2 linked regions of the Bombyx mori genome follow. The protein of the gene in region 1 interacts with the protein of each later gene in a biochemical or structural test. Links are inferred from orthologs where the notes say so. Each region holds a gene or a part of one and is shown on either strand. Other genes may lie near its edges.

Region 1 (11,563 bases):
GCTCCGCCAAAATGAATGTTCGAGTACAAAATTAAATGTCTAATCCTATCTAATGGTGTAGGAGAATGAGGGAGGGACATTAAATTTACCCGAACTTATTCACTAGCATATTGGGCGGAGGATATATGTTCTAGACGCTGAACTCAATAAAGAATGGGATTGGCCCTTAATATTTATGCCCATTCTTTATTGAGTCTCACATTTGCCGTTTGCAGATGACATTGTCCTTATGGTGGAATCGTGGCAATCGATCTGCAGCAGATGATAAACGGCTTAGCAGACTGTTCACACCGAATTGGACTCCCGATGAACATAAATAAAACTCAAATTATGTTCAATGCTCATTAGTTCGGGTCCAGTCGTCGTAAAGGGCTATCCTCTTGAAGAATGTATATCCTACAAGCAGACGTTACAGTTGGGTAAAAACAACTTGGAGAGGGGACCTAAGAAGAAGTTCCAGCTGAGCTGGGGAGCGTTTGGCAATGTAAGTTGTATTTTTGTCGCCCATTCCACACTGTCTGAAAACGAAAGTTTGCAACCAATATTTCCTACCGGTTATGACTTACGAAGCAGAGACGTGAACACTCACAGTACGGCTTGTCCGTGAGCTCAAAGTCGCTTGGGAAACTATCGAATGACCCGTGCTCGGGGCTTTTCTGAAGAATAGAATCTGGACTAAGATTATTTGATTGAGAAGTATTCATCAACGTAGCTCAATAGAAATGTATCGGCAAACGTAATGTGGTACGACCTTCGCCAGGTGGAGCAATGACTTGGTCCTTGGAAGAGTGGCCGGCAAGAAATGGATGAGGAGAGCCGAAGAGTGAGCTCAAGGGAGAGACCAATATCCGGCAATGGACTCTTGTGGCCTGATCATTATGATGATGATAATGAGGTAGCTAGTGATCGATGGTGGACACTCACTTCAATGATGTAATGTTTCCCGATGACGAATTCCAGCTTCTTCGACCAAGGATTAATAAACGAAGACCATTCGGTTTCGATTTTTATGTAATCACCGTTTTGTGTCATCATTCTGAAATTATATTTCCGAAGTGAATTTGTTTACGTATTCGACACAATGTTTTATTTATTTATTGTTAAAATAAATTTAAATGGATATTTATAAATGTTATTAGTTTATTAAAAACGTAATACCTAATACCAATAATCATACTGCGCAAATGGTCGCTATTCCGACGCTCCGTACTTTGAACGGATTAACAGAGAATCTAAATAACGACGAGTCGCACTCAAAGGGTTAACAGTGTTTGAATCATCACTACCTTCATGTTGTAGGTTGAAATTAGTAAAATTATTAGGAGGTTTTCAATAGTTTTATAATATGACTGTCATTTGAATCGTCAACAGAGTAAATAATATATAGGGTTTCTTAAAACCAATCACGACGACATTTCAAATAAAGGTCATATTTAACTAAAATAAATGACAAAATTTAATATAAAAAAAGCCTATTCGTTCTTCGAAACGGTTTTATTAAAATGAAAGAAATAAAAAAAGAAAGCCAATGCCCATTGATCAAATAATACTACCTAATTAACCGACCACTGACTAATTACATTAACCATTGATCACATTTAGAACTTATACTTTAATTATTAATAACACCGGTGTTGTGTTTCTTTTATTTACCTGTAAGTTTTGGAACGCGGCATGCCACCATCCTTAACGATTACCTCGTATACTTGCTGGAGGTATTCCAAATCTTCCGGATGATAGAGTTGCAATGCGTCCTTGTCTTGGACATCTTGAGGTAAATATCCGAGATAAGGTACAGATTCTGGGTCTAAGTACTCGAGATTACCATTCGCGGAGTGACGCATCACGAAAGGATTAACTTTCGGTAATATTTCAAACGACGCTAGAAGAATAAAATAATACTAACATGATTATGAACACTAATACGAAACTATTTTAAATGGAACACTGAATGCGTCCTTAGACTATTGTCGTCCACTGAACGACGTAATAAGTATTGCGCGATGCGATAGTGATGTTACGCAACACAGCACGGTATCGATAAAACAAGTCCAATTAAGAGGCAAGAACTCTAATGGACACGGTATCAACAGAGCGAGATCGTTTTCTGTTCGATTGGCAACCCTAAGAATTAACGGATAATAATTTAAAAAAACGACACAGGCTGATTGATACTTATAAGGTCAAAAATCTGATAATGACATCTGTCCAAATAAATCGGCTTGATTCGAGCATTACCTGAATAGATACTAATTGTCTCTTGAGTTTTTTTTTTATTGCCCTTAAGGGTGAAGGAGCTCACGGCCAGCCTGCTGTTAGGCGATTACCGGAGCTCGCCGACGTCAGAGCGTTAATGACGTCACATGCCTTTAGGCATGAGATCGTAGTTCTAACCATGTATAATGGCCGTCCCACTATTTATTACAGATCGGAATAAATGACCGCTTCGCGACTAGACCGTACGGGTTCTACATGCCAAGCGAAAACGAACTTTAAATTCGTTAACGCGAAAATATAAAATTGAATTTGATCGTTTCTTTTATTTTTATGCCTTGACATTAGAAAGAATATGGTTCAATTTGAATGATTTGATGATTTGATTTGAATGATTTGATTTGAAATGATTTCAGATATTTTTTTAGTATTGGATAATCAACTTTAACTTAAGCGGAACAAAGTCGTGAATTGACTATTGTAAAAATGAATATTAAAAAAATAATATTCGTTTAATAATAACGAAAATATTTGTATGGGAATTAATTAAATGCGCGCAGTACTTATTTATTATATGCCCACCGATCGAATTTCAACCCTAACTATTGACGCTAGAAGATCTAAATTCATTTGTTATATCACTGAACCTGCGACCAGTAAACGCCGGTTGACGATCACAGTGCGCTGGTAAAATACTCAGAAAACACAGCTGCCGATGCTCCCGTGAATCCTTAAATCGTTTTTACTTTTATTGCCCTTGTAGGCAGACGAGCATGCGGCCCACCTGACTGTGAGTAGTTACCTTCGCCCATGGACTTCAGCAATGCCAGGGGCAGAGCCAAGCCGCTGCCATCCGTGTTACACTATCAAGGTTACAGTCAGACATTACTTAAAGTTTTTTTTTTATTTTTATTAGTACAAATCGCTATTTGCTCGCTTTTTGAACGCACTCAATTTTCTTATAATACAAACAAAAAGAAAAAAGAAAAAAAAGGTTATCACTAACTTTTGAACGCTGAAAAAAATGGTGTGGCCTGTATGACGAGGTAGATGACATTTCCCTCTTCATCGCTTATGTTCTTGAACGTGAATTTCAAAAGGAACGGCATGAACGTGACCACTCTTTCCTTAACTCCGAACCCCGTGCTCAGACCTCTGTAACGTCTTATCCGACACACCATAGTCGATCCAGAATTACCCGGCGATTGAGCTGCGCGGAAAGAAATAATTCATATTAAAGAAAACTTTTTAAAACATTTATCGAAACGCATTACAGCTTCACGGCAGAAATAGGCAGGGTGTTGGTACCTACCTACCCGGGCGGACTCACAACAGGTCCTACCACCAGTAATTACGCAAATTATAATTTTGCGGGTTTGATTTTTATACACGATGTTATTCCTTCACCGTGGAAGTCAATCGTGAACATTTGTCCTTCACCCTTTTTGTGTTTGTGATTATAATTAATATTTAGCCCCAGCCCGTGTAATAATTCGCTTAAACTAATCCTTATAGTCCTATACAAATAAAACTATCATACTTTCTATCTAATAACAATGATTGAAAAGTAACATGTATTTAAATCTAACATAAAAAGCTAATAATGAAATGATTAATTCTTATTAAGCTAAAATTTAAAAACAACATAAAATAATTCACAGTTAAATTAAACTTCAGAAGAAAAATACTTTCAGGCGCGAGTCTCGATCCAACTCATAATAGTCAAGCTCGTATCAATTTTGTTTGTTAATTTCGCAGGCAAATACAAAGATAATTAAAAAATATACTTGGTCCATTGAAATGTTAAATTGTTTGGGCTTTAGCGTGCGTTTTTAGAGGACGCAATTTAATTTTTTTATGTGTAGGGAGGTTTAGTGTAAGCTTAAGTTGAAGTTTGTGGCAACCCTAGATCAACAAGCAACCCTACAGAAACTAATTGTTTTAAATTTTCTATGGGTTTGTTAGTTTACGAAATACAGCGCAAAAACCCTTTGCACTCGTTTTTCCAAGTCTTGGCGGGATGGCAAGAGTGGCGACCCCAGAAACTGGAACTTAAGCTTATACTAAACCCTCTACACATCAAAAAAACTAAAATTCCGTCCTCTAAAAACGCAATCCTATTTTTTTTTCAATTGATTGACAATGGCAACAAACTCAACAAGTAATGTAGTAAGATAATTATCAAAAAAACTTTATATTTATATACTATAACGATGCTGTCGGTCACCGCAGTTTTTAGTATATCTATGATTTAATAAAATAAAAATTACTAAAAGTACTTTTTTTTTTTTTAGTACTAGCTCGTTTCTTCACCTTCACCACTTTAATCCAGGTGCCAATTAATTAATCGATCATAGTTTTCTTACTTTTAACTAAAAACGGTCTTACCGCAAAATACAACACCCCATACTAAAAGTACATAATACAGGTCGATCAATCGAAACCGTAGAAATGAAATCAAGAGTGAGAAATGTAAGAATGTATTTTTCCAACTATATTAAAATATATTAATAAATAAGAAACTTTGAGGGCAACAAATAGATATCGTTAGAACATGTTTAATTTTTAAATAAACCGCAAAAATACTTACGATTACATACACTAAGCACGGTAACACACAGATACAGTTAAAAAAAAAAACAGTGTGTCATAATAATTCGAAATTTAAATAATTCATAGTGTTGATCCATAAAGAATCGAATCGTGTTCGAATGTAAAGACACATCCATTCGTTATTGAACATGGAGAAGCTCTATGTTACGTTGGCACAGCGATCCGAACTCGGCGATCGGGAGGGAGCATGCAATCGCATAACTCAAACATCGGCACCACCGATATAAACGTTAATAAGGATTTTACCTTTTTCTTGCGTACCGTTTGCAGTTTTCGGGACGGCCAAACCACTGGTTATCTGTGACGCGAACGTGCTACGGTCCTGTAAATATCGTTTCGTTATTATATTCCTTTTGTCGCCAGTGTAAAAGCGAATTAAATTAAAATTAAAAAAAATATGTCTAAAACTCTTCGACAAAGGATACGTAGCATTTATTCGAAAAAATTTAATAAAATTTTAAACTCACCCTTGGATGAACGAAATCGATAAATGACCTCCCGATCCACATGTCCTTCGGGAAACCGAGTATAGCCGTCAGCGATGATGTCGTGTACATTACGATTCCATCGTGCATCGATATAACGCATGAAAATCCATCCTGTATTTCATTAATGTATATTAGTATCGAAACAAGAATCTTTTTAATACAATAATTTAAATACGAGAATTTAAAAAAGTTGCCGTCATGCAGTCATTATTAATGATAAACTATTAAAATTAAACAGAATCCGAGTGACTTCCAGACACTGTGACTGTCTGTGTGACTGAACGATATCGGCCCATCTGGTGTAAGGGCTTGTACACAAAACTTTGATGCGACGTCGCATCGTAAAAATCTACAAGCTCCCACGACGCACCGCAAGAACTTGCGAACTGATTCGCATCGCGCATCCCTGCGTTGTTAAAGGATTGTGGAATTGAAAGTCAATTGTGAAAAGGAAAATCCTTGCCGCGCGAAATCGTGTTGCGGTTATGTGTGTTGCGAATTCGCAGTTATGTGTACAAGCCCTATAGTTTACTGGAGCCCAAAGGCATTACAAGGTGAATGCCGACATCGACTTTAGAAATATAAGGTCTCAATTATACACCTTCTGAACTACTACGTTAGAATAAAATATAAGAAATTAACAAAAACTTTGTTTAGTTTTGAACGCTTCTTCGTTGTTTTTACGATTCTTTGAAAATATCGTAACACAAAATGACTATAGGTCGCTTTTTTTGTACCGATGTTGATAGCCTTGAGAAGCTACATCGGCGTTAGCCTAGAGTGTAGGTGAGCTCTCGGGGCTCAAGCAAGGAGGTGTTGCTGACACTGGCCCTATCAAGAGCAGTGCTTCGCAGAATCTACTACGGGATCAAAAACGCGACCCACTGAGAAGATCCGACGAGAAACTGTACAGGTCGCCTTAAGCCCGTGCTACACGAGCCGATACTAGCCATTTACTTTTGTCCACTATACATTGCAAGCACATATTTATTGAGAGTTTGTTCAGAGCTAAAGCAATTACTTTGTGACCATTATAAAGGTACGCTTTCCTTAAATAATATTATAGATCTTAAAAATACACAGTCTTGACGAAAAATTGAAGAAGAAAAAACAAAAACAAAAACAAATTGTTTGCTTACAGTGTAACAGATTAGATTCGAACGACTCGTAACTACATCGACAGTAGAGTTCTGCGGTTGCAGGTCACACGATAAAACCTGCGTAAGAAAATAAGTCACTAGCTTTAGTAGTTCAAAGTATTTTACATTATTTTTAGCACATCACGATGCTGAGCAATGAGCGATCGACTGAAGGAGGAGGAGGACTAGTAAAGAAGAGAATTGGCACTATCCCTGTGTACAATTACCCTATGTAAATAAATGTAAACTATAAGTAGAAATATAAAAATGTAATTACTACCTATATATTATGTATTATTATTATTCTCATACATACATACTATATTTATTTTAAATATTATTGGTTTTACAACATTGAAAAAAAGATTTAAAAAAAAAACATTTAAAAAAATAAGTCTATTATATTATTATTCTTATTATTATTACAGTAGATTAGCAGACCCACGGCTAACCTAGCGTTGAGTGGTAACCGAGGCCACCGCCCCACCTTCGAACTACGACTAAGATTTCGTTAAGTGTTCTGTGTAGATTTGCTTAGGAAATCGAAACCTGCTTTAATAATAAAAGTTGTAATCATAATCATAAAAACGACTGTTAGAAAAAGACTTACGTGCAATTTAAATTTAAAAAAAGGAGAATTAATTATTTCAAATTCACGATCGATTTACCTGACATCGAGCTTTTAAACTAATATTCTAGAACAGGGGTGGCCAACTTAATTAGAACGAAGATCCACTGTTTACTGAAACACTCTATCAATGACATTTCTTGAAATTTAACGAAACAATGTAGAAATAGTATAGAATAGTATCAGTATAGAAATAAGTAGTATATTTTCTTTTATTAAAAAGATTAACATAAAACTGAAATTATATAATAAAAGAGAATTATTGTGCGGAAGAGAGGATAAATAATGTGACGTAAAGGTCATTTACAAAATTAAATGACACAAGATGAAGATGATGTGTGCAATTGTTGATTTTGTAGTCGGAATATTTTCTAATTCAGAACATTCGCATCGATGGATGTATTATATTATTATATCGTCAACTTACCTCTACCTTGTCGCCTTCAGTGTCTGTTGAAGCTATATCCATATTCTCAGGTCCCTTCTCGACCTGTACATGCGCTGGAGAGGGTGCGCTCGTAACTGCACAGCGGAAACATAAAAAAGGGAGATAAACATGAACCAATGCGGTAACCATCAATCGTTTATTCTAACATCAACATTGTCTACACAACACCCCTAAGGCATACCGTCTAACAATAAAAATATTATAGATATGTACTAAACTTCTTAATTTTTTTTATCGATATAATTTTATTAGTTTTGTTAATTTTTATACAACACACATTTTACTGAATGAAACTCAAATACCTATTTATTACATTAATTTACAATTAAAACGAAAATTACAATTAAGATGTTTTGAAATATGAAAACAGAACAAGATCAAAAGCTTAACATGACAATGACTACCTAGTGATCATTTGACATTGTCAATGTTAAATGACTACCTAGTGGTCATTTAAATTATTATATTCTTATCTGTATTCGTTTATGATATGAGATCCGACAATGATCGATTTAAATAAGATGAAATTTATTTTTAAATAGAATTAGTAGCCAGAGACAGAGAATCTCTATCGTGGAGTTGGTTTTCAAGGTAAGTATTTTCAATACTAATTCACACTACACTACACACACTACTTGTTGAAGTGAGATAGATTATTTATATATGCTGAACAGTAAGAGTGATATGGGCTGCTTTTTAATCCGGACAATATTTACAATAATACCTTCAGAATTAAAATTAATAATATGGGTAAATCTCTGGGGCTCTCTATTTGTAGAAATATTCTTTTTCTTCTTCTAAAATACATCGAGTCGGATCATAAAGTGCAATAACTTTCAAATCATTCAGACGTCAGAAAATTCGTAAAAACTAAACATAATCCCATACTTTCATACACAGGGTGATTCAAAATTAATAATAATCGACTTGAAACATATTTTTTAGATATTATAATTTACTTTATATTTCGATAATTTCACTTAGACCATCAGTTCACTTGCGTACGAATTGATTTTTGAAAAAGCTTCTAGAGAAAGCTCGCCATTGTTTTCAAATTTATTTCCTCTGGGTTGCTTCTTAAGCCGACGGTAGGGTAAGAACAGGCCGAGTTATATGTTCTTCACGTATGGCACCATAGCTTCGGTTAGATGTGCAGTCACCTTATCCTGACGCAAGGTTATTCCAGGAAACAGTACTCCTCCTTATTTGATACCTTCCCTTACTCTCCTTATTTTGTCTGCGTAGGAAGTGCAGGCAATAGTGATCTCATTTCCAAACACAATCCTTGGGAAACGTGTCGTAACTTCGTAGCCGTCCATTGTCATATACTCGATTGGTTTTTATATCACTTTTAAAAGCCGACATTGAAATGAATGCAGTTCTAAAATATTACAGGGTTTTTATTTCAATATTAAGAAAACTATAAATTATTGTGTCCTATCGAAATATTCGATTATAATTAATTTTGAAACAACCTTCTTACGGATAAAACTATCATATGCTTATCAAAAACAACAGTTTATTCATTAATATCACATCAACAGTCGGTCGAGGTAAGTACAACGTTACTTAGTTGTTTAAACCAAATAGGCTTTAAAATTTCGAAATTCCAATTCATTTCAAATTGATTTATTTTAAATCATATTATGAGAAGTTATATGTGTTATGAATGAACCATATGTTTTTATTCAATCATTATTGAAGAATATTATACATATTTAATATTATGAACTAACCGTTCAAATCTCATTATACATACCATTCAGTCCTGACACAATCACGATCACATTACCTTTTCATAAGCGATGTACCTAAATAACATGTCTAATATTATATTGAATAAAACACTGAGTCGCAAATACTCGACCTTCCCGTACCCTCTGTAACGATAATAATTGTTTAATTACAAATGTGCCGACGTTTCGGAACCTAAGAGAAAAATCAACTACTTACAATCTGTTACGGAACTATAACGTCACGAAAATTAGATAGAAGCTGCGACAAAGCAGATGAGTTCTTAACTAACTGTTAGTATATGTTACAGTTTATGAGTTAAACAATTAACGATTTATTGACACCCCCCTTTAATTTCGGACCACACAAATCTCTAACCAAACAATTAACCAATGTTCAATGCTATCAACGATTCAAAAGCAATCAGTCGTCAATGTAGTTTAGAAATTAATAATAGAGGTTAAAGTATGAAATTGCCGTTTAATTGTAATAGGTACTTCGAATTAACATAGAACCTTCATGGTTTGAGATTTTTGAGTGAAACTTTTTTCAAATGGTACCTGGTATGAGGTACTTCTTTTAAAAAATGTGCAACATTGGATTAACGACTTTCAGTTGTATTTTTTTTATTCAGGTTAGACAAGAAATATGGATACTTCGAAAATTCGAGTGATTTTTAATACGTGTTCCGACGCGGAACTAACGCTGCAGAAACAGCTCGCAATATCAGTGTTACGTTTGGAGAGGACTGCTAATGAACGCACCGTGCGGTTTTGGTTTATACGCTTTCATGATGGAAATTTTGATTTGAAGAACAAGCCACGTGGAAGACCGCCCACACATGTGAATAACAACGTATTGAAAGAGATGGCGGAAAATGGTGGCATAGTTTAACGTTACCTTGCCAACAATATTGACTCATTTGCGTCAAATCAATAAAATATAACAAAAAATATGAAAAATGGGTGCCTCATGATTTGACTGATCTGCAGAAAGAAACGCGTGTTGAAACTTGTGTTGCCTTGTTGAATCGATACAGAAATGAAGGAATATTGTATCGAATTGTGACATGTGATGAAAAGTGGATTCTTTACGATAAACGTAAGCGAAAAATGCAATAACTGACCCCAGGTCAAACGCCGCAAAAATAAAAAGGTAATGGTAACTGTTTGGTGGTTTCAGCATGGTGTTATTCACTATAGCTTTCTCCGATCTGGTCGAACAATAACGGCAGATGTCTACTGTGCCGAACTCTGAACAATGAAAGCAAAACTTGCAGTGAAACAGCCTCGACACATTAATCGGTCCTCACCATTATTGCTCCATGATAACGCGAGACCTCATATAGCACGAGAACCGTTTTAACTCTACAGGAACTTCAATTAGAAACCATTGGTCACCCTGCGTATTCGCCAGACCTTGCTCCAACGGACTACCATTTATTTCGTGATTTGGACAATTTGCTACGTAATAAAAAGTACAGGAGGCAGTACATAATGCTTTCACACAGTTTGTAGAATCTAGATCACCAGTTTTTTTTTTTTTTTTTTATTGCTTAGATGGGTGGACGAGCTCACAGCCCACCTGGTGTTAAGTGGTTACTGGAGCCCAAGGACATCTACAACGTAAATGCGCCACCCACTTTGAGATATAAGTTCTAAGATCTCAATGTAGTTACAACGGCTGCCCCACCCTTCAAACCGAAACGCATTACTGCTTCACTGCAGAAATAGGCAGGGCGGTGGTACCTACACGCGCGGACTCACGGCATAAATGACCTTCCTATTAGATGGCAGCAATGTATAGATAATAATGGTAGATATTTTGATTAAATAAATATAATTATTTAAAAAAAAAAAACCCTTTGAATTTCTCATTACAAATCGACAATTTCATACTTTAACCCCTAATAAATGTAGGATGGCGTCATTGTCAGCTTCAAGTGACTTTCGAACCAATTTATTTTCCTTATTCAGTAACGTTCTGTCTACAAGTTGAAATTCCAGTGAAACGGTAATGACGCGACGTCTTTACGCAATTCAGCAAGCTCGTGTTTAGTTCAAGACACGCGTATAGACCGCGGCTTTCTAATTAGTCTGAATTTTGATTGAGCAGCTTCGGACCGTATTTTGTTAAGAACGTTTTTGTTTTGTTTTGTTTTGACTTTGTGATTTTGTAACAAAGAATATAAATAAACGGAAACAATTTTGTATTCCCGAAAACTTTTCACGTTTTATTGCTTAACGTTTTTATCGTTGACGCAAAATACACTTTCCATTGTTACATACCGACCGATGGT
Region 2 (11,563 bases), on another chromosome or scaffold:
AGAGCTCAGCCAGCGGATTGTCGCTCGTCGGCTCCAAATAAGCCATTCCTGTGTTTCAAAAGTTTGCAAGCGCTTTCAAGAGACTGGTAGCTTTATCCCGAGACCAAGATCTGGACGGCGCCGGGGCACATCGGAGAGGAATGACCGTTTTATCGTGTTAACCTCTCTCCGAAATCGGCATTAACCTGGTGTCGACGTCCAACAGGAGCTCCGAGATGTTCGTAGGGTAGCAGCTAGCAAGTAGACAGTTCGTCGACGACTCAAGCAAGCGAATCTGACTCCAAAAAGGCCTGTCACAGGCCCGAAACTCACGGTAGCTCATCGACAAGCACGCCTTCAATTTGCTCGTACCAATCTTAATTGAGAGGTTGAGCAATGGAGGCAAATCCTGTTCTCCGACGAGAGCAGGATGTGTTTGCATGGTAGCGACCGAAGAGGTTGGGTCTACAGGCGGCCTGGGAAGCGATTTGCGCAGTGCTGTTTCGCTGAAACAGTGGCTTATGGGGTCGGCTCTTGTATGATGTGGGCCGGCATTTCCTTCGACGGTAAAACCGAGCTTGTTTTCGTGCCTGGCGGGGGACGAGGAGGCGGTCAACTTCGGACCGGTACATTTCCAATATTCTGCTGGAACATGTCGTTCCCTATGCGGGATATGCCGGTGATAGCTTCCTCCTTAAGCACGATAACGCTCGTTGTCACACTGCCCGTGGAACAACTGAATACTTCGAAGAAGTCTATATCGCCACATTGGACTGGCCTGCGCTCAGCCCTGACTTGAATCCTATTCAGCACGTGTGGGATGAACTGAAGAATAGGGTTCGTTCCAGAACTTCTGCTCCTTCATGCCTGAATGAGCTGAAATCGGCGTTGATTGAGAAGTGGGAAGGTATCCCACAAGAATCAATTCAAAAGCTGATCAGGTCTATGAAGAATCGTCTTCGAGGAGTTATTAGGGCAAGGGAAGGGAACACAAAGTACTGACATTTAATTTTAAGGCTAAATAAAATTTTTATTTATTAATTTTTGTTGTTTTATGCATTCATTATTTTTCCATATTTCCTTTGTTTCCTACCTCCTTCACTTAATCCGGAATAGCTCCTTAACTACTGGCTCGATTTGAATGAATTTGGTATCAGTTTAAAGTTAAGAGTTCAACCTTTAAAATGATCTCATTTTTATGATTATCAAAAAAATATTTAGTACACAAGATCGCGCGGAATCAATTTCAAGTAAGTGATTCCAAACTTTTGCTCGCGAGTGTAGTTTCTACAATGAATGAAAACCGCGCCCTTTAACTAGTGGCCATATAAGGAATTCGTTGGTACCGGAAATCAAATTCCTTCTAGAACATCGGATAACAAACGCCCACAACGTAAGTGCCTAGAAATATCGAAAAAAAAAAAGCGAACAAGGGTTGACCCGTTGCTTGTGAATGATTCCATTTCGCTCGACTCGACTATTGCTATCTAAGTACCACAGGAGTTTTCTGGAATATAGACAATAATTTAGGGCGTGACTTGCTTCGGTTGAGCCGTTCTTTCCATATTTCTATCTCGTCTTATACGAAAGATCTAGAAGTCCGCTCAGTGCGCATTGTCGCCACAGGGAAGGAAGTAGGCCGTTCCGATACAAACATAATATAAAAACGAATTCGCGCAGGAGGAAGGGATTTCGACGCCAGAGAGTTCGCACGACAATTATAAGTGATCCGTATTGGCGATTATTTGATCTCATTTTAAAAAGTAGTACAATCAGTGCTACACTAAAATAAACACGAAAATTAAAAACGGATTCTTCAACCCCCTTGTAAATTGAGGGTCCACCGTAAAGATTGCGAAATACGGGCTGAACGTCCAAGTACGGATTGTAGACGTTCAGGCAACACCTCCGAGTTCCCCATTAGGCAGTGGAAACTTCCTCAGCGAAGACCCCCACGTGTCACGGGATCTAACGGTCCAAAGATAAGTTCCCAGTGCACATAGATCTTTTTTGAAGACCAAAAATCTTCCCTGTGCCGCGAATCCACTCCCCGCAAGTAGTCATCACTAGAGTATTTCTTTTAATTCAATTAATAACTTTTTTTGAGATAAATTAATTAATATTTTTTTTATATATCTTGTAATAAACAGTTATAACTTTGTAGTTGAGTTTATATTTGTATCCACCGTCAGGCGGTCATAACAATATGCTAACATTTTTAATAAAGTTTTCCTTACAATATTATTATATTTTTAGCTAAGCCACCTGTGTAAATGCAGCTTAAATTTTTTATCTGACATTTTGTAATCTTGGTATACTTTTTAATTATTTCTTTATTGCTTAGCAAGGTATGCGAGCTCAGAACCTACCTGGTGTAAGTGAACCTTGATCCAAGTCAGACGTAATTTTATTGTATAAAGGCTGTCCAAGCCTTCAAGCCATAATGCACGAATGCGCCGCGACGGAAATGTGCAGGACTGTGGTATCTACTCTTATGGACTTATAATACGCACTACTACCATTTAATATCGTTTGGCGATCGCAGTACGGTGATGAATTCTCAGAGAACGCTGCTGGAGGTTGAATTGGAGAATGTTTCCAAATTAACCCTTAGTCGTCATTTATGCCACGTGAGGATCGAGATGGGGTGGTCTATTGAAAAGCCGTCATAACACAGCGAAAGTATAAAAGTACATACCAAACTTTAACATGTTCCAATCAAACACGTAGTCATATGTAAATCCTTGCCGGTGGAAGAGGGTGCGAAACAACTGACGCAGATGGGCGTAGTCGGGTCTCTCCTCGAAACGAAGTCGCCGGCAGTACTTCAAATACAGTTGAAACTCAATTGGATGGTTCTTTAAATAAAAAAATAAAAAATGAGACTCACAAATCAATGCACAATTCTTCACCTCACATCACAATAGTATATTAAGTATATTAAAGTACATTAAAATAATTACATTTTTTTATTAGACTTTATTGATGAACGAATTCTAAGTCCCTTCTGTTACCAGAGCCATTAAAACTGCCACACACCCTGACTTGGGATTAAATTTTCAATTGTATTGTATAACAGCTATCCCACCCTTCAAACTGAAATGTGTCTGTTTTATGGCAAATTGGGTATGCTGGAATCTACTCATGCAGTTTTACCTACTGTAACAATTTTGACTGTAAATGACCTCTATTTATAATTTTGGCTAGCGTTTATTGTACAACATCATTGAAAAATTAAGACCAGTCTTAATTATGGCTTTAGTTTCGTAGCTTAACAATTGTTTTCGCAGGACATAAGGTAAAATTGTAAAAGTGAATTAAAGTAAACAGTATACTATTAGGAAAACAGTTGCCCCATCCGTTTTTAATTATGGTACATAAAAGTAAAAGAAAGGGTGTTATTTTAACAGTATATGTCAAAATTAGAACTAACTCAGTGAATGATGCAAATAATTCTTTATTATAAATATTATTCCCTTTTGTACTCTGGGAACCATTCCTTGTACTTATGTACCATAAACAATATTTTACAGTTTCGTTTCTCAATAAAAAAAATAGGATTAAGAATAATATAGCAAGTTATATTCATTAGCCGTCGTTAATACGTCATCGTAATTAAAAGTCGTCGCGGCCTAAATGATAAGACGTTCGATGCATTCGTGTTGAGCGATGCACCGGTGTTCGAATCTCAGGTGGGTACCAATTTTTCTAATGAAATACGTACTCAACAAATGTTCACGATTGACTTCCACAGTGAAGGAATAACATCGTGTAATAAAAATCAAACCCGCAAAATTATAATTTGCGTAATTATTGATGGTAGGACCTCTTGTGAGTCCGCGCGGGTAGGTATCACCACCCTGCCTATTTTATGCCGTGAAGCAGTAATGCGTTTCGGTTTGAAGGGTGGAGCAGCCGTTGTAACTATACTTGAGACCTTAGAACTTATATCTCAAGGTGGGTGGCGCATTTACGTTGTAGATGTCTATGGGCTCCAGTAACCACTTAACACCAGGTGGGCTGTGAGCTCGTCCACCCACCTAAGCGATAAAAAAAAAATTAACCACAGAGTGAAACCTTATAAGCATTTCAATTTCAGCTTTCATGAATATAATACATGATATGAATATATGATACACGACATGATGATAAAGTATACATTCTTACCTTACAAAGCTCATCAAAAGGAGTGGACAGTTTCTTTTCAGATATTCTTTCATATTTTTGACGTTTTGTTGCTGCTTTTAGCCCCTGCCATGGTAAACTACCACGGTTAAAGTACATGAGCACATAGCCCAGTGACTCTAGATCATCTCGACGTGACTGCTCAATTCCTAAATGTGTATTTATTGAAGCATATCTTGCTGTTCCTGAAATAATTCATTTAAGGAAAAAAAAATTAAATAATATATATATTTGCTTCTGGAAATATAGACATTAGTACATTCAATAAAAAGGACATGAGATAGAGTATTGAATATACATCAATGCTAGTTATACATAAAATAATATGAAAGGATAGCTTCAAAATTATATTCGTAACAATTATGTGTTTTGATAGGCAGCGGCTTGGCTCTGCCTGCCCCTGGTGGGCGACGGTAACCACTCACCATCAGGTATGCTTTTCTGCCTACAAGGGCAATAAAAAAAAAACTAATTAGTATATAGTGGCATATTCTACAGTAAAGATGGACTCATGTCTCAAGAAGGAGGCATTCACATCAATCAATTCCAATAATTACTTGACTTCATTCAGCATTTATATAATTTATATTCAGTGTAATTTTACTCACATTTGAATTACATACTTGTTTACTGTATTGAATAATATTATCAATACTATAAATCAATAGCTCATATCAGATAATGGTACTGTAAGGAACAGAATTCTATTTATATTTTATGCAATTTAGATGACATGTTTTGTAGCAATTCCTTTTTATAAGTAGGATCTATAACTTTATTATACAGTGATAAAAACATGCACTGCACAATTATATGAATTAAATTACAATCAGTTTGTTAGTTAAATATAGAGGTCATATAAGTTTTTAGGATCCCTAATGCTGTATGTATGCTGTATGTTCTTTGATATTGCCAATTTCCAACCAATAACAATAATAATGTTATTATTTATTCCATAACTATATCTAACTATTGATGATTTGTTTTGAATGATGAGATAAAAGGTTGTGCACCTATCGGTAAAAATATCATAGAAACTGCAATAGAAAACAATTTTATTTAAAATTTTGTTGAGGATTATGTTAAAATAACTGTGTTAAAGGAAGACTGTAACTAAAATTTTTCCTTAAAGGGTTATTTATCACATAATAAATGACAGCATGAATTATAGTATAACACAATAAGTGATCAAAATAATTATTGAATCACACAACAATAAATTAAAAATGCATACCTGTCAAATTTTTGTTTTCTCTGTAAGGTATATGTTGATTAGTCCGAGGATCTTTGTACTTCTTAGCTAAGCCAAAATCTATTATATACACTAAATTTCCTTTTTTACCTAGGCCCATTAGAAAATTGTCAGGTTTGATGTCTCTGTAAATAGAATTTTATTTGTACACATTACCTGTAAAACACACAGTACCTTATATTATGTAATCTATACTAGATTACACAGAGAATAACAGAGTTCAAGAGCAATCTCTTTCTTGATTTATATTGTAGGTCTCTATAATTACTTTTAAATCATTTGACTTCTAAATGTTTTGTAATTGTTTTGACTTTTTCAATAATCTTTATAAATTAAAAAAAAAAAACTTAAAGAGAAATTAAGATAACAAAAAATTATAAATGTAAACTGGTACTCCTTTTTATTTTAACTCTGCAAATTGACCCAAAGTACAACACTATCTCATAATTCTAATGACAAAGCAAACAGAATGAATGATTTCAGTGTTTATCATATGCAAATACAAAATTTGTCATAGAAACTACAATCAAATCAGTTGTAATCTAACTTTGACATGTTTATAGACTATTTTAACCCTTGATTTATTAATTTCTATTACCTTAGAATTAAAACTCATTGTATTGTTGACTTTGAGAAAGAACTTGTATGATTGGACTAAGAGATTTTATGGGCTATTTTCTAAACATATCATAGCACTATTTTATTGTTTCACAAAATAATGGATTTTTTTAGAAACTCTAGTTCATCATCACCCAACATGCACTTGTAAATTCACAAAGGATAAACTTCCTACAAGGAAGAGTATATTTATACATAGCCTGGCAAATATATTTTATTTAGGGTTCAGAAATGTTCCCAATTCTTATCTTACTATTTGAGGAGCTAGGTATTTAATTTCAAGACTTTTTGACTGTAGTAATCGATTGTAATAGAATTATTTATGTCACTGTTTGGAAACGAAGAAAAATTGCCTAAAATGTTGATTTTTGTCCTTGGTAGGCAATTGCCCTTAATAATATGTGATGAATGGCTATGGTGGCCATATTTAAAATTAATAAAACCAAATTCAGGCATATTTGCATATATGAACATAACATTATGTATTCAAAACAATTTCCATTGCTGCACTAGGAGATATTTAAATATTTCATCAATGCAATCTGCGCTAAAATAACTACTGCTCCTACTAAAATTGTGGATAGGATAAACAGCAAAATACCAATAGTAGCTGCAGTTACTAGAAGTAATTTAATTTTGATTTATAGAATCCCATCTTACTAAATGTGATTAATCACAGCAAGATTCGGCTACCCACCTAGTTTTATGTATGGCTCAAAAACCAAGCAAAGCACAAGATGAGCATTTTTCTGAAAGCTATATGTTTATCTATATGGTTATGAAAACTATATGAGCCACTAGATGGCTACAACAGTGTGCAAAGTAATGCATGAGAATCCTAGATGCTAAACAAATAAAATGTTACAAAATAAGAATACACTAGCAGTCCTAGAGGCAATGGATTACATCAGCCATGTATGTCACTTATCAAACAACATCAGCCACTATGTTAGGTACATAACTTAAAAAATATTACTTTTTAGTGGATTAAAGGACCTAGTGAATCGAGATAATGATGTGGCTGATGATGACTCACAGGGCTTTTGAGTAACGGAAAAGGGCCATAGCCCACTCTATTCCCCTTATATAAGAGAGCAATATTGAGATGTAGCTGGTGCAATCACTGGACACAAGCCTTACATAAAAAATTGTTCAAAATAGACATTACAGAAATTTCACTGTGTAAGGCCTGTATGGAGACTCAGAGTTCACATGGAGTACACGAGTCTTCACACTTCAGGTTACCAAAATTACACAATCACCAAAAGCAGCAGGTTGACTTACTAAGAGTTGTAAGATCACTCACCCACAAACAAAATGGGCACAATTTAGGAACTTCTATTAAAAAATGTTATTTTAAATTTAGGTTTTACTTTCTTTAAATTTGTATTTTAAATTTGATACAATAACATTGCTTATTTCTTTAAGAAATAATTTTAAATAATTTAATAAATAATGCATATTTTCTGTATACAATAAGAGATGCTTTCTGCACACACTAAAAGGATAACTTTATGTTTTACTAGTTTTATTTTTGAGATTCAAATATGGCCTATGAAATGAACACAATCTAATTTGAAAGTTAATGCCAAATTATCACCAAGCTGTATTTTTGTAAAATAATGATAATAATTTTGATTAAATTAATATTTTTCTCTGTTTAAGAAACTAAAACTCACCTATGGATAAAATTTCTGTAGTGTATGTCCTCAATGCGGGAAATTAGTTGGTCTGCTAGAAGGAGTACTGTCTTGAGAGAAAAACGACGTGAGCAAAAATTGAAGAGATCTTCCAATGACGGACCTAGCAGTTCCATTACCATTACATTGTAGTCACCCTCTGACCCACACCATTTAATTGCAGGAATTCCAACTGAAAGTATTAATAAAAATTTAAAACAAAATTAACAAGTTTTATCTTTTTTTAAGTTAATACCAAAAATAACACTACTTCTACTACTTTTAATGACGAGCAAAGCTCTGTGCAAATTATCTATCCAAAAACTTTATACATATTCATTTAAATGAATGATCCAGTTTTAAGCAGGGTTTTGGAATTATGGTTATATGGCATAAGTTGGAAACTTGACAGATATAAAACTAATAACTGAGCTATTCGATCTATAGTTTATTGCATAGGTCTTTAAAAGAAACACTTTTGTGATTTGAAAATTACTTTATCAGCTCAACCATATCAAGAAAATTTCTTACCTCTTCCTTGCATTAGTTTGTAAAATTTGCTTTCTATGTGTAACTGTGGATGTCTCGTTTTGATACATTCTAACTTAATGGCTACTTCTTCCCTTGTGACAATGTTTGTTCCTAAAAACCATTTTTATTCACATTGATTGATAATATAAATAACAACACCCATAAAATAGAATCAATAATTATTTACTGCTTAATGTTAATATTGGGACATGTTAAAAGGGCACAATGTACCATTTCATAACACAAATGATACATACATACCATTCATTAATAAGACAGTATATAACAGAAGCATAATTATCGAATTACAACCAGGTAATTTTAATATATACTGTTACTCAAAAGTAATACGAAAACAAGCGTCTAACCAACATCTTGGAAACCGTTCGTGGCGACTACTGTTAATTAAGTCTTCAGAGAGACATCTACGTTATGAAGTCAGTAATCACATGCAATCAATGTCCATAAATATTTAGTTCTGTATTCAGACTTTCAATGGAAAAAAAATTAAGAAGTCCATAGTTCAAATTATTCATGTTCAACATTATTTAACTTATGTAGAAACGAAGATTAGGCGCAGCTGGCCCGAGCAGCAATTTACGATTTTCTTTGTTTACAATTAACCCTCCAATTACTTACCTAAATATATATCTCCAAAAGATCCGGAGCCAATTTTTCGCCCAAGTCGGTATTTGTTACCGACACGAAGCTCCATTTTAATATTAGCAGAGAGATAGAACCACAAATAATATTACTGACCACCAATTCATTACAGGACGGCCATATTGCGATAGACGCACAAGTTAACTAGTAAAATTAAATTGAACATGAATTCTGATGTAATTTTGTTTGTATCTGAGCTGTTGTAGAGATTATCTTAGTAAATTTTCTGTAAAAAAATCTATATTTTTAACTAAAATAAGTTGCAAATTGGACTTATCTACAGGCAGAAACACATGGACGAGGAACCAAATTTTTGTAAATTGAACAAAACTTAGATAGAACATAGAGCTGCTGCTGGAATGGGATCCACAGATTAAACAGATATGTATTACTGATTGAAGATTCCAATTTCCATTCAGGGTTTCTATGGCAACACCAACCTACACAGATTCAGAATTAAATTAAGCCTTTTATAAATGATATTCAAATGCCTAACAATTTTTTTTCAATTTGACTAATTTATTTAGTCGATAAAAAAACACAACTTCACATAAACACAACACATATTCAATCATTAACATCTATGCATATTTTTCTCTTTATTTGGTAAAACACAGGATCATTTAAGTTTAATGAAGTAAAAGAACGTTTAGTAAAAGAGTAAAAAAATTTTGAATGAACCAAATGAAGTAAAAGAGCAATTCGGATCCGGTGAAAGATCCGAAACACTGCTCTTGCTAGGGCAGTGTTAGTAAAGTCTCTCAGTCTGAACTCCGTGAGCTATGTACACCCGGTGAAGCCAGAACTGCCCCACGACGCTATTGTCAATAGGTAAGCAAAAAAATTCAAGAAACAAAAAAAGAAGGAAAATTAATTCTAAGACTAGATAAACCTTGGCTTGCGCGATGAATTTTGAATGACCACGTCGGAATTTATGACTTGAGGACAATAACTTAATAATCGTTTAAAACGATTAGAGGTGTGAGTTCCTGTTCCAGTAAAATATAATGGAAAAGATTCAATAAAAACGAATCAGAATTTCTACAACACTGAGCTAGAGAATCTGATAAGAGTGGGAATCTTTCGGAAATATTTTTGTTATTCGGAGTCTAGGTATAATTGTTCTTATCTTGTGTACTTGCTATAGCAATAAGCAAATTCTAACACCGGTCACTCACATGCGCACGAATACGCAAACCCGCAAGTGTAGGACGACATTTGCAAATGATTATGCAAAGTTTTCGCTGCATTCGTGGTTTTCCAAGCTGTGTCGGTTTTTTAACAGACATCAAAGCGTGCGAACCTCGAACCTTCGCGTAGTCTCCCACACATTCGTTTGCCCAGTTGCGCCGACGATTGCAAAGGTAACGGACGTGTCGCCATTTTCATAGTTCGTGACATCTACTGTGTAGCGTATCTTCATCAAACGAAATCCCATAAAAACAGCATGGCTGTTAATGATGTCTGGGAAAGAATTCAAAACTCTTTTTCTCTTCAATGTTCTATTGACGAATTAAAAAGGAGCAGAAATTCGTGAGACATTCGTAAACAAGTGTAGGAGGAAGCGCAAACGGGTTCGCTAATTGAGTATGCGAACCCATTTACACAGCTGCTAAGTTTGCGAATGAATGTTTGACGGCCCTTCACATGCGCGCAAACATTCGTACAATGTACGAATATTTGCCCGCATGTGAGTGGGGCATAAGATGGAGGCGTTGAATGTACAAAGTTTATTTATTGCAATTCATAGCGCACTATTGATGCACAGTAAAAACTTTTCTTTTAGAATGCTGGCCACAAAAAAGTTTATTGAATTCGAATTTCGAATTGTTCATGAAAATAAAAATGTATACTTTTAGAATTTTTCTCATTTTTAAACATAGATTATACACTTAATATTTTTTAAATATGGACGCTTAAAGAAGACCGTGTTTCAGTTATTGCGTTGCATCGTTGCGGTTACGCGCCAATTCAAATTTTTAACATACTGAAAATTTTGAATATAACCAAAAGATTCGTTTATCGTACCATCAAACGATACAATGAAGACTCTAGTGTAAATGACAGGTCAAGAAGTGGTCGCCCTCGGTCTGTTAGGACTCCAGCAGTGATAAAAGCTGTGAAGGCGCGAATTCAAAGAAACCCCAAACGTAAGCAGAAACTGTTGGCCCTTCAGATGGGGTTAAGCAGAACCACGGTGAAAAGGGTGTTAAATGAAGACTTAGAGCTTCGGGCATATCGAAGAAAAACAGGACATCGTTTGAATGCTCGTCTAATGGACCTGAGACTGAAGAGATGCCGCGCTTTGTTGAAGCGGTACGCGGGAAAAAAATATGGGAAAATTCTTTTTTCGGATGAAAAAAATTTTACCGTAGAAGAGAGCTACAACAAACAAAATGATAAGGTGTACGCACACAGTAGTGAAGAAGCGAGCAACCGTATTCCGCGTGTCCAACGAGATCATTTTCCATCCTCGCTCATGGTATGGTTGGGAGTTTCTTATTGGGGCTTAACAGAGGTACATTTTTGTGAGAAAGGTGTAAAAACGAATGCAGTTGTGTATCAAAATACAGTCCTGACGAACCTTGTGGAACCTGTTTCTTATACCATGTTCAATAACAGGCACTGGGTATTCCAACAAGATTCGGCGCCAGCT

What was found.
Region 2: of the proteins of Per (region 1) and dbt, one has a biochemical effect on the other in vitro, tested with the Drosophila melanogaster proteins (4 studies listed by BioGRID, with this or other methods). The link is inferred for Bombyx mori from reciprocal best matches to the Drosophila melanogaster genes per and dco.

The regions. Positions count from the first base shown.
Region 1 is NC_085107.1:12,543,151-12,554,713, forward strand, and holds part of Per (period), read right to left. Parts: intron 7,605-11,563; coding exon 7,510-7,604; intron 6,533-7,509; coding exon 6,455-6,532; intron 5,427-6,454; coding exon 5,295-5,426; intron 5,150-5,294; coding exon 5,074-5,149; intron 3,425-5,073; coding exon 3,221-3,424; intron 1,883-3,220; coding exon 1,654-1,882; intron 1,037-1,653; coding exon 925-1,036; intron 1-924. UniProt on the Drosophila melanogaster protein: Essential for biological clock functions. Determines the period length of circadian and ultradian rhythms; an increase in PER dosage leads to shortened circadian rhythms and a decrease leads to lengthened circadian rhythms.
Region 2 is NC_085123.1:7,352,120-7,363,682, reverse strand, and holds the start of dbt (double-time protein), read right to left. Parts: upstream 9,229-11,563; 5' UTR 8,960-9,228; coding exon 8,884-8,959; intron 8,356-8,883; coding exon 8,245-8,355; intron 7,907-8,244; coding exon 7,714-7,906; intron 5,542-7,713; coding exon 5,399-5,541; intron 4,350-5,398; coding exon 4,147-4,349; intron 2,838-4,146; coding exon 2,678-2,837; intron 1-2,677. UniProt on the Drosophila melanogaster protein: Serine/threonine-protein kinase which is involved in the circadian rhythm pathway, viability and planar cell polarity.